3 linked regions of the Sus scrofa genome follow. The protein of the gene in region 1 interacts with the protein of each later gene in a pairwise test. Links are inferred from orthologs where the notes say so. Each region holds a gene or a part of one and is shown in the gene's direction. Other genes may lie near its edges. The genes, in order: FAM208B, ERH and NEK6.

What was found.
Region 2: the proteins of FAM208B (region 1) and ERH interact in binary tests that used the Homo sapiens proteins (3 or more experiments, as listed by UniProt). The two-hybrid records come from large-scale screens. The link is inferred for Sus scrofa from reciprocal best matches to the Homo sapiens genes TASOR2 and ERH.
Region 3: the proteins of FAM208B (region 1) and NEK6 interact in binary tests that used the Homo sapiens proteins (3 or more experiments, as listed by UniProt). The link is inferred for Sus scrofa from reciprocal best matches to the Homo sapiens genes TASOR2 and NEK6.

The regions. Positions count from the first base shown.
Region 1 is NC_010452.4:65,199,702-65,202,543, reverse strand, and holds part of FAM208B (protein FAM208B), read left to right. Parts: intron 1-495; coding exon 496-601; intron 602-2,842.
Region 2 is NC_010449.5:93,081,094-93,085,429, reverse strand, and holds the start of ERH (enhancer of rudimentary homolog), read left to right. Parts: upstream 1-1,479; 5' UTR 1,480-1,547; coding exon 1,548-1,550; intron 1,551-3,684; coding exon 3,685-3,772; intron 3,773-4,336. Other genes in the region: SLC39A9 (zinc transporter ZIP9), read right to left, coding at 292-387. UniProt on the Homo sapiens protein: May have a role in the cell cycle.
Region 3 is NC_010443.5:265,077,238-265,081,325, forward strand, and holds the start of NEK6 (serine/threonine-protein kinase Nek6), read left to right. Parts: upstream 1-1,169; 5' UTR 1,170-1,334; intron 1,335-4,088. UniProt on the Homo sapiens protein: Protein kinase which plays an important role in mitotic cell cycle progression. Required for chromosome segregation at metaphase-anaphase transition, robust mitotic spindle formation and cytokinesis.

The DNA.
Region 1 (2,842 bases):
TCCAGGGGCCCAGATACTTCATCCGAACAGCACCAGCCACCGCTCTTGCAGCCTTGACGGCTGCCCCGTGCCGTGCTCAGCACTGTCGCTAGTTCGGCGGCTCTCCGTCCCGGGGTGCGCCCCTCACCTCTTGTTTGAACCCAGGCCCTTCGCCACCAAACCTCTCAGCACTGTGGCTGAGCTCCTGTGCGGGCACACGGGCGGTTGTGAGATGAGCAGTTTCCTCCTTCGCCCAATCACGTCCACTCCATGTCTGTTTGGAATCGGCCCTCGTTCCTCCATTTCTGTTGCCGTCGCCCCGACGGTCGTGTCCGTATCATGGGGTTAAGAACCTGGCACGGTGTCCGCGAGGATGCGGGTTCCATCCCTGGCCTCGCTCAGTGGGTTAAGAACCTGGTGTTGCTGCAAACACAAGGCGTCCTCACTGAGCTTTGACCAGACAAGCCGCAAATTCTAACATAGATCTTCTCTCGTCAAACTTCCTCTCTTCTGTAGTTCAGCTGAAGGAGATTGTCAGAATCCTCGAGAAACTGAATGCCAGCGGCAGGTGGAAGTGGCTGCTTCACTACCGGGAGATTAAAAAGCTAAAAGAAGATGTGAGGTGAGCACTTTGGGGAAGGTGAGGCCGGGGGTGGGTGGCCAGCCCCGGTCCCCCGGACACGCTCTGGGCCGGCGGGTCGCCGAAGGCGGCGCCTGGGCCCGTGGCTGCTCCTCGGAGTGTTTGGCCAGCGGGGCTCTCGGCGAGGGAAGGGCTGAGGGAAGGGCCGTGTTGCTGCCGAGGCAGGAGCCCTCCCTAGACAGCAGCGCAGAGCCTCCCGACACGGCCCCCGGCGGGGTCCCCGTGGTTGGGCTCAGGCTCTGCTCCCTGCAGTGAGCAGACTGAACTGCGGGCTGCTTCTGGACATGTTTCTTTTTCTTCTTTTTTTTAATGTTTATTTATTTATTTATTTTTGTCTTTTTGCTATTTCTTGGGCCGCTCCCGCGGCATATGGAGGTTCCCAGGCTAGGGGTCTAATCGGAGCTGTAGCCACCGGCTTACGCCAGAGCCACAGCAACGCGGGTTCCGAGCCGCGTCTGCAACCTACACCACAGCTCACGGCAACGCCGGATCCTTAACCCACTGAGCAAGGGCAGGGACGGAACCGCAACCTCATGGTTCCTAGTCGGATTCGTTAACCACTGCGCCACGACGGGAACTCCTGGACATGTTTCTTGATCTCTTACGTTGCCACACTTACAAGGACAGGCAGGTTGAGACCAGGCTGTAGCCTTCATTTTATCTCAGGCCCGTCTCCTTAAAAGAAGAGATCCGGGGCCCGTGGGTGGCCCTTGGGTGTCAGGGACGTGCCTGCAGCTTGTAAGAAAGAGTCTGGCATCCAGGGGCTCCGTCGACGTGACAGGCGTCTGTCACGTGACTGTTGCAAGTCCCCGCGGGGGAGGAAGACACAGACCCACTTTAACGCCATGGGATGGAGGCAGAGAGGCCGGCAGAGCTGACCCCTGACCGGCAGGTCGGGAGGCTTCGTCTCTGGCTGACACGTTCCTTCTGCTTCCCCCACGGCGCCGCCGCCCCCTGGAAGCCAGGCCTGGGCCTGTGGAGAGCTGGGCTCTGACGGTGGGAGCTGCGAGAGGGAAGGTGGCAGGGGGGGCGGGAGACAGCGAGGCTCCTACCGCGGAGACCAGGGCGAGGGGAGAGGGCTGGGGCGCTGGACGGGTGGGCGTCAGAGTGGGCACCTTAAAACCAGGTACAGGGCAGGGCGTTCTTCTGGCTCAGCTGTAACAAACCCACTAGGATCCATGAGGTTCGATCCCTGGCCCCTCTCAGCGGGTGAAGGATCCGGCGCTGCCGTGAGCTGGGGTGTGGGTCACAGATGCGGCTCGGATCTGGCATTGCTGTGGCTGTGGTGTAGGCCGGCAGCTGCCGCTCCATTTTGACCCCTCGCCTGGGAACCTCCACAAGCCGTGAGTGCAGCCCGAAAAAGCAAAAAGACAAAAACAGAACACAACCAGGTACAGTGTGGTGTCAGTGATGGAAGTTTACACCTGCTGAGGATGAAGCCTGCAAGCAGGTTCCTTGACAGGTCGTCATTAGAGCTGCGGGAGCAGGTGGCCGGGGGCCTCCCCGCGAGCGAGCAGGACCGTGTGCGAGCGAGGGAGGGGGCTGGAGAGATGGACCCGTTTCCTCCAGAAGCACAGAAGGTAGAAACACGATTTAAAGTGAAGTGAGGCGTTCCTGTCGTGGCGCAGTAGCTAACGAATCCGACTAGGAACCAGGAGGTTGTGGGTTCAATCCCTGGCCCCGCTCAGTGGGTGAAGGATCTGGCGTTGCCGTGAGCTGTGGTGTAGGTGGCAGACGCGGCTCGGAGCCCGCGTTGCTGTGGCTCTGGCGGAGGCTGGCAGCTACAGCTCCGATTCGACCCCTGGCCTGGGAACCTCCCTATGCTGCGGGAGTGGCCCAAGAAATGGCAAAAAGACCAAAAAAAATTAAGTGAGAAAAATTAAGGAAATTCCAGCTGTTGCCTGATGTTGGTGAAGTTGGCGACCCGCTGACTGGAGAGAATTAGGTTTGGAGGGACCTGAGTGCTTTGGGAGCAACCGCTGCAGGTCTGAGGGATGCAGGCAGAGGGCCTCGGGGATCAGCGGAGGCCCACCAGGCCACCCGCGTGTCCCTCCTGGTGGAACGAGGCCCCCACGTTTTAAACACCTGCGTCTGCAAGAGGCGGGAGGACACGGGGGCTGTTTGGGGGGACCCTGACAGCGATGCCTGGGGAGCCAGGTGTGTCAGGAGAACAGAGGGGGGAAGGAGTTGGATGAAGATGGTGAAGGCAAGAGCGAGCCTAGG
Region 2 (4,336 bases), on another chromosome or scaffold:
GTATCAAAAGAATGCTATGGTGCCTCTCTCCCAGAAAATGCACAGAGCCTCAAATTTTTGTATTCAATTTCAGGGCGTTCAGAGTATTCCAGGATCTTCAGTGGATCCACCCACCTCTGGTTAAAGAACACTAGTGCTGAATGTGAGGTTGTTATTAAATATCACGCATCTTTGGAGAGATATATAAAACCTTCAGCTCTAATATCAACAGGGGAAGCAGCTTCCCTTTACAACTATGACTACTTCCTAGCAGCCATGCTGACAGCTGACAGAAAATTGAGAATTTCTTACCTCTGAGAAATTAACAGCCAAAGGAATGATTCCAGCCACGTAACATCCCACCAACATAGCCAGAGACAGCAGACTAATAGAGATGAAATCATCCATTCTGCCCTCCTTTATTCACTCACCACCACCAGAGTACAAATTTTCGGTGGTCTCAAAGGGTACTTAGGTTCTTAAACGCGTGTGGTTGTTTCAGCAGAACAAGTAGACTTCCCAGTTCTTTTGTCCTCCCCACCAGCAGATATGTTCACGAGGCACTGTTCTCTTGAAGGTACCTGGAAACACTCCCTTTTTGTTGATACTAGCACCAGAGAGAACTTTGAGCAATCTTAGGTCGCAGCCCCTAAGTTTTCAGATATCAGTCACTGGATTCTCGTGGGTTAACAGATGAGAAAAGTCCAGGGGGAAAATATGCGAATGAGCGAGTTATTCAATCATTGTTATAAGGGTAGCATAACAGGCCTACTTCCTCCACAACGTTCCGGGCGGCAGCAACAAAAGGAAAAATCCAAGCGAAGATGTTTGTTCTCCGGGCGCCCCTATCTCCCTGGAGCAGCCCCGCCGGTGATTCCTCCAGGTCTGGGACCAGCCCACCAATCCCAGCAAACTCCTCTCCGAGTCTAGGATGAGGAAAGGAGTCCTGCAGGTCTCTAACGATTGGTCGTAGGGGCTCAGCAGGGAAGCTGATACAAAGCTGTCTCTGCCCTATACCCAGTGCTACCCATGTTACTCCACTCTGCTGGGCCTTGACCCGGAGCCACCAGTACTACAGCTGCCATGGCCGCCAAGTGGCATCTCTTCTTTACATCCACTTCCGGATTGCCTTACTGCCCCCTCCTTTAGAAGGGTACTTCCGGGTTGCAACCGACCTATGCCCCGGGATTCTTATATTGCCGCCATTTTTGAGTAGGGCCATTGAAAAAATGACTTGTGTAACTGTTTAAACCGATGATCACTGTAGCCTCATGTCTTACAGCGAAAGCGAGGAAGACAGATTCTTGGAAAGAAATATGATTTTTTTTAAGTTCCGATACATTCTCTCTATGTCTCGTCGCCCTTATTCAAAATGGCTGAAACAGAGTCAACATCTGCTCTAGCTGCCGGAAATAAAGGAGCCTCTATGGTTCAAAAGGTTCTTTCGCGGTGCCCTTCTGACGACTTCCGGCGGCTCCTCTCGCGGGGATTGGCTGTTGGCGGCGTTGCGGCTAAGCTCGTGTGCTGCAGCAGTGTCGGCAGCGGCTGCAGGAAAAGGGATCGGCGCGATGGTGAGAAAGGCCTAAGCGGCTCCCCGAGCCCCCAACCTCTGGGGCGACCCCTGCTCGTACATCTTCTCCCAACGCGGTCTAGCGCGCGCATGCTATTGCTCGGCTCTCCAGCCTGTAGATCGATCCTTCCCCTTCCCGCCGCGGAAACGCTGGGCCTGGCACTAGGCCGCTGAGCCCCGGTCCGCCCTGCGGTTGCGCGCCAGCCTGATGGCTCCGGCAAGGCGTGCGGTGCGGAGGATGCGCTTTCTCCCTATTGCTGCTTGGTAGAACCCGGCGTTGGGATGCTGACCTGTCTCTGCAAACGCTCTATCTTACTGTAGGAACAATGGGCGAGAGATGTCTGACAATCCTGTCTCTCCCCAAGCTTACAGCACCCAAAGTGTGGGCCAGGAGGAATCGTCTTTGCAGCGTGCTCAGCTATTCCCTTTGTTTTCTGTGCTCTGCCTTTTTGAAAATACGTGCAACCTTTTCTCTTTTCTGAGATGTACATGCTTGGTTTTGTGCTTCCCTTAGCCTTCAATCCTCTTTTTATCCTTATTTATATTCTTTGGGGCTGGAAGTTGAAAAGATAGGTTGAGCTGAGGGTCCAGGTTGCTTAGAACCTGGGTCGGTAGTGTAGTGGATGGGGGCGGGGGGTGTTGTTTGGTCGGTTTTGTTTTTTTGGGGTTTTCTTTTGCTTATGTGTGTGTGTTTTGTAATTCACAAAAAGGAAATGCTCTCAGGGATTCTGAAGAATCATGATTACTTCCATACTTTAGTTTTCGTTTTCAGTTTGCCACAGTTATTAACAGATTATGCATCTGTTATTAACAAGGAACTTTTTCATGTACTTCTCTGAATGGAGATACTTCAGTGTTTGACCCAACATAGTCTCCCAAGGAGGACTAGGAATTAGAAGACTGGGTTTTCAATTCTTGGTTTATTATAAATAATAATGTGACCTTGGGTATGTCATTTCATCTCAGTGAGTTTCCTTCCTTTTATGTCACTGTTTGGTCAGTTGTGTTAAAATACTTAGATTAAATCTGAGAAAAAGACAGCAGTTAGTAACAACCCATTCGCATTGAGCAGATATCTATGATTAGTTCTTTAATTCCGAGTAGAATTAAAAACTGGAGTTTGTATTTAAAGTCAACAGTTACTGGTTCAGAAGTCTTAAATTTTGTTGCCCTTACTGAACAACTTTAGTTTCTTTTTCTTCTCTCTGCCCCCATCTTTTTTCTTTTTTGATAGTTTGGGCGAAGCAATTAGTATCCATGAGGACTCAGGTTTGATCCCTGGCCTCGCTCAGTGGGTTAAGGATCCCGTATTGCTGTGAGCTGTGGTGTAGGTCACAGATGTGGCTCAGATCCTGAGTTGCTGTGGCTGCGGCGTAGGCCAGCAGCTACAGCTCTGATTTGAAGCCTAGCCTGGGAACTTCCATGTGCTGCACTTGCAGTCCTAAACAGACTAAATAAATAAATAAATAAATAAAGATAAAAGTACATCAACCCTCACCCCTTAAGGTGAGTCATCTCCAAGATGAATAATTTAATGGATTTTCTAAGGTGATGTTATATTAATTTTTATTTATTTATTTGTTTTAATTTTCCTTTTTAGAGCCATACCTGCAGCATATTCAAGTTCTTAGGCCTAGGGGTCGAATTGGAGCTACAACTGCCGGCCACAGCATTCAGGATCCAAGCCTGTCTGTGACCTACACCACAGCTCACGATGCAGGATCCTTAACCCACTGAGCAAGGCCAGGGATCTAACCACAACCTCATGCTTCCTAATTGGATTTGTTTCTGCTGCACCACGACAAGGAGTTTTTATTAGGGACTTAATACAGCTAGAGATAGAAAGAGACCAGTGGAGATAGAAAACCTAAGTAAGTTTTCAATCCAGCTGGGAAGAAAGATGCAAAAGAAAAAAAATAAACAGTACAAGGTAGCTAATGCTGAATACTTACAGACAGTAAGTGTAATAACAGTTTGAGAAAACAACCATTAAGAGTAAGAGACCTTGCAGAGGAGTTGTGAATCCAGCTTAATAACCAATGATCATTTGTGTCATGTTGCAGATTTTATCTCATACTAAGAATTTCTCAAGTATAAGTTAGAAACTTACATTAAAATCACTTTTCCCCCTGCAGTCTCACACCATTTTGCTGGTACAGCCTACCAAGAGGCCAGAAGGCAGAACTTATGCTGACTATGAATCTGTAAATGAATGCATGGAAGGTGAGTCTCATTTAGGACCTAGGTTTGTTTTTTCCTCCAGATTTCTTGAGGTGTTAATTCGAGCAGGGAAAGTAGATATTTAGGACCATGTTTGTTGAATACTTGAAATATTAATTATGCATGCTGTCTTATCAAGCTCTTGTATATAATGAATGTCTTTCCCAAGCCTCTGATTGTTCTGTAAAATTCTGTTATGTATTGTTATTTTGTTGTATTATGGAAGTATTTTACAGCTATCACTTATATATTCTGGATAAACTAAGCACTATAAAGTTGTTAAGGCAGGCAGGAGTGCCTACAGAACCAAATCTGCTTATAAGCAAATAAACATAGTTAAAAGCTGATTACAGTCCATAAGAATGTTGTTAGGAAATAATTAGCTCAGTGAATAAAGGCAAGTAGAACCTAATCAGTATAATTTATTGTGTATTTGATAAGATGGCACCACCCTGAAGGGAAGTATTAGCCTTCAATAAACTTTTCAGATGAGATCACATAAATTGGATCATCACAAATTGGATTAATCCTTACATTTATTTATTTATTTATTTATTTATTTATTAA
Region 3 (4,088 bases), on another chromosome or scaffold:
ATCAGCAGTCGGCCCCTCCTTATATCAGCAGCACAGAGCTGATCTGTTCACCATCTAGATTAGGGACATAGACACTGGAATCAGACAATCTGTGGTCCAACTGCTAGCTCGACCACTTACCAGCTGGGTGCCTTTGGGCAAGAGACTTTGCTTTTCTAAGCATCGTTTCTAGGCCTCGTTTACCCCATCTGCAAAATGGGCTCAAAAGCAGCTTAAAGCCTTCTTCATAGAATGGCTGTGGGACCGAATGGCACCAGCCAGGCAGAGTGTGCAGCCATGAGTCTGGCACACAGTGGGTGTTCAGTTGGTGTCGTTATTGTCATAGATCACAGCCACTTGAAACATGGTCACTCACTGGGCAAACAAGGCCCAGTGGGCATCCCCCTGTGCCCAGGACCGTGCCCTGACCAAGCTGGGCAGCTGGCAGGCAGTCAGCGTCAGTCTCTGGTTCCTGCCCTCCTTGGGGACACAGCACAGTTTTGCACGTGAGGAGAAGCATCAGCAAGTGTGGATGCAATAACTGTCTGAGCCAGGAGGGTCCCCTTTTTTGGGGGGTGGGGGCCCTTCTAGGAAGTGAAGCAGGGAACTGAGCTGCTGCCTTTGGGCCCCCATGTGGACTCTGTCTCCTTAGAGGGGGTGATAAGCATTCCTCAGTAGAATCTTCTTCCAGAAACGTCTGCACACTGACACTTACCGGTCTTGGGGTTCACAGGAATTGGGGAGCTCCAGACAAGAGACGTTGGCCCCTGAGAGCAGGGACCAGCACCTTCACACATCGAGATACCCTTGGAGCTTATTTCAGCGGCTCATTCAGCAGGCGCAAAATAAGTGCTTGTTGATGAGCCGAGATCCACATGACCAGGGCTATGGTGGGAGCAATGTCGGGGGAAGGGTACCCAAAGAGGCGTGGCAGGGGTCCAGGGGGGTTGACTGGCTGCAGACGCTAATCCTAAATGTCTAGAGCTTGAGAAGGAGACATGTTAGGCCTGACTCGCTGGGTGAGTCTGGGCCTCAGTTTCCCCAGCTTGAAAATGGGGAGGGGGTCCTCAGCTAAGCGGGCTTGGGAGAGTGGGAGATCCGCGCGTGGAGAGGGCGCCGCCCCGTCGCCCCCCGAGCCTGCGTGGCGGCAGCGCGCACGAGCGCAGGGGGCGGCGCGGCCCCGCGGCGGGGAGGGCGGGAGCGCGCACGCGGGCCCGCGCAGGCGGCGGCGGAACCCAGCGGACCAGCGTGCGGCCGCGGCGCCGCCAACTCGTGTGGGACCCACTGCTCCTGCCGGCCGCCCGCCGGTCCGTGCGCGGGTCCTTCAGCCCGCAGCCGAGCCCGCCTGCGAGCCGGTGAGTGACCTGGGGCCGGGGCCCGGCCGGATCGGACCGGCGCGGGCCGGGAAAGGGGCGGGGGCCGGGCGGCGGGGCAGTCACCCACACCCGGGCCGAGCAGGGGGGTGCGCGCGCCCGCGCGCGCGCCCGAGGCTCCGCGGGGGAGAGCTGGCGGGTGTGCACGCGGGAGGTCGGGGCGCGCGTGAGCCTTGAGTGTGTCCCGGGCCGTGCGTCGGAGCGTGCGTGGGCGGCGTGTCCATCTGTCCCTCCGGGTGTGTTCGCAGGAGTGTGCGCGTGCCTGTGGCCGAGTTGGTGCGTGTGCACATGGGAGCGTTGTGATCGTGGGGTTTGGTGTGAATGAGTGCGGGGCGAGTGGGCATGGCTGCCATTTGTCCATTTATTGAGTGTTTACTATGTGCCAAATGCTTCTTGTGGGATCTCATTTTTGTGACGGAGAACGTGTGGGTTCTGGGGCTATGTGTGCGCACACACACGAGTGAGTGCCCACAAGTGATTTGTGTGCGGACTTAGGAGCCCATGAGGACAAAAGTGTGCACATGTGGCTGTGAGCGTGTACTTTGTGTACAGGAGTGTTCAAGTATGTTTACTCTGGGGGCTGAGGGTCCCCTTTGCGCCCCCCAGGCTTACTGTGTGATGAGCTGGTGGAGAAGCAGGCCCGGCCTGAGCACCCAGTGGGTGCTGGGCCTTGTTTGGTGAAGGAGAGGCCAGAGGTCACATTGCAGAGCCCAGCGGGGCCTGGGTAGGGCCACTGGCAGGCCCCTCCGTGGGGCTGTGGTGGGCCTGGTGGAGCTGCTTAGCTTGGCCCTGGAGGACTTGGATTCATTTTCCTAAATACTCTTCTGGGTCTCCTGGCTTTGTTCTTGCCCCTTTCTGGCCCTGGTGAATTTTAACCCTTTCCCCAGGCCTGGGGTGTGGCTGACCCTGGGGAGACCAGGGGCCCAGAGACACTTGGCTGTATTATCTAGGGGTCTCTCTCTGCCTGCCTTGCAGAGTAGATAGATACTCATCTGATTCTTTGTATCAAGCCTGAGCACCAAGTATGAGCCCCCAAGACAGTAAATTGATCACAGCAGGCTTGGGACACTGTTTTCCAGGGTCTGTCCTTGCAGTTTTGACTGACAGGTTTTTTTTTGGTGTGTGTGCTTTATAAATGTTGGAAATCTCTGCAGTCGAAAGTCTTAATTGCTTTAAGGCAAACTTTAGAAACTCTGGAGCGCCCTAGTTCCTCTGGATTGTCAAAATTCAACCTGCCTTTCTGAGGGGAACATGTCGTCTTAGGAGCTCAGTGTGTGCGCAGGCGAACCTTGGAGGCACATTTAAAAACCGTGGCGTTAATGGAAGAAGAATTTCATTGAAAGGGATGCAGAGCCGGCTGGAAGCGCCTGTTCCCAACGCCCTGCAGTTTACGGAGTGAACTTTGGATGTCTTCGTTTCGCAAACAAAAGCTGGAAGGAAACAAAAAAGCCCCATGTTCTTTTTCTTTGGGGTCCTAAAAAAAAATGAAAGGAAAAAAAACCCCAAACCCACCTCTGGGTGTGCTGGAAATGCTGCCTCCCTTCCCCCAGCAAGGCCAGGCCCTCCTCCCTCAATCCCCCACCCCCAAATAAAATATGCCTGCGGGGAGCCATGAATGAGTCACTCCCTGGCAGAGAGCCCCACGGGCAAACATTTGGGAAGGTTCTTGCCTAACTTCCCAGAAGAAAGGCCCAGGATTTAAAATGGTCCCTGTGGTTTGTCAGCCTCTGCCGTCCCGTCTGCTTCGGAAATGACTAAAAAGTAGTTTCTGCTGCCACCAAATAAAGTCTCAGACTGAAGCAGCAGCTCAGGTTGGTCTGGGGATAGGGCCACGCAGGTTTCGAGCGAATGAGCTCCTGGCTTTGCCAGATGGCACTTCTGGAGGCTTCAAGCGAGGAAGGAGCCAGGGAGCGGGGAAGGGAAGTCACATTTATGAAGTCCCCACTGGGGCCGGGCACTGTCCTGGGCGCCACGCTGTTCCCAGAAGTCAGGCTGTCGAGACTGGCTTTTGGTTTTATATGCACAAGGAAATTAGGGCTCAGAGCAGGCGAACCGTGTCCTGGGACCGCTGAGGAAGTGGAGGCGGAGCCCTGTCACCTGCCTGACTTCACACCTAGCCCCTTTTCCTTGCACCAGGATTTGCCTTCTGAAGGTGCACGGACCCACCTCCGAGTGTTTTAACATAGCACACTCATTTAATTTTCACTGTGAGGCGGATGTTATTATCTCCATTTCACAGATGAGAAAACTGAGGCCCAGAGATGAGACGATGTCCATAATTTTATCAACTGATGGTTCACGGCCACCACTGTCTGAGGGTATAACATGTGCCAGGCACACCCCCAAAAGCTTTAAGTGCCTGTTTCATTCACTCCACTCACCGACACCAAGAGATGGGAGCGATCATGATGCCTATTTTACAGAGGACGGAACCAGGGTACAGAGATTGAATAAAATGCTGAAGATCATGTGCTGATAGGCCGTTACTTGACCTTGGATTTGAACCCAGGCTTGACTGAGCAGAGCCTATAGTCTTCCCACTGCACCGGGAAAGCCACCGTGGCTGTGTCCCAGGTGTCTGGCACCCTGCGAAGGTCCAGGATTGTTATCCTGATCTTACAGAGAAGAAGATGAAGCTTACAGTAACTTGGGCGGGGTCCCACACTGGCTGATGGCCAAATCACCATCAAAACTCACATCTCTGATTGCAGAGTTGAGGTTCTTCACTTTTTTTCT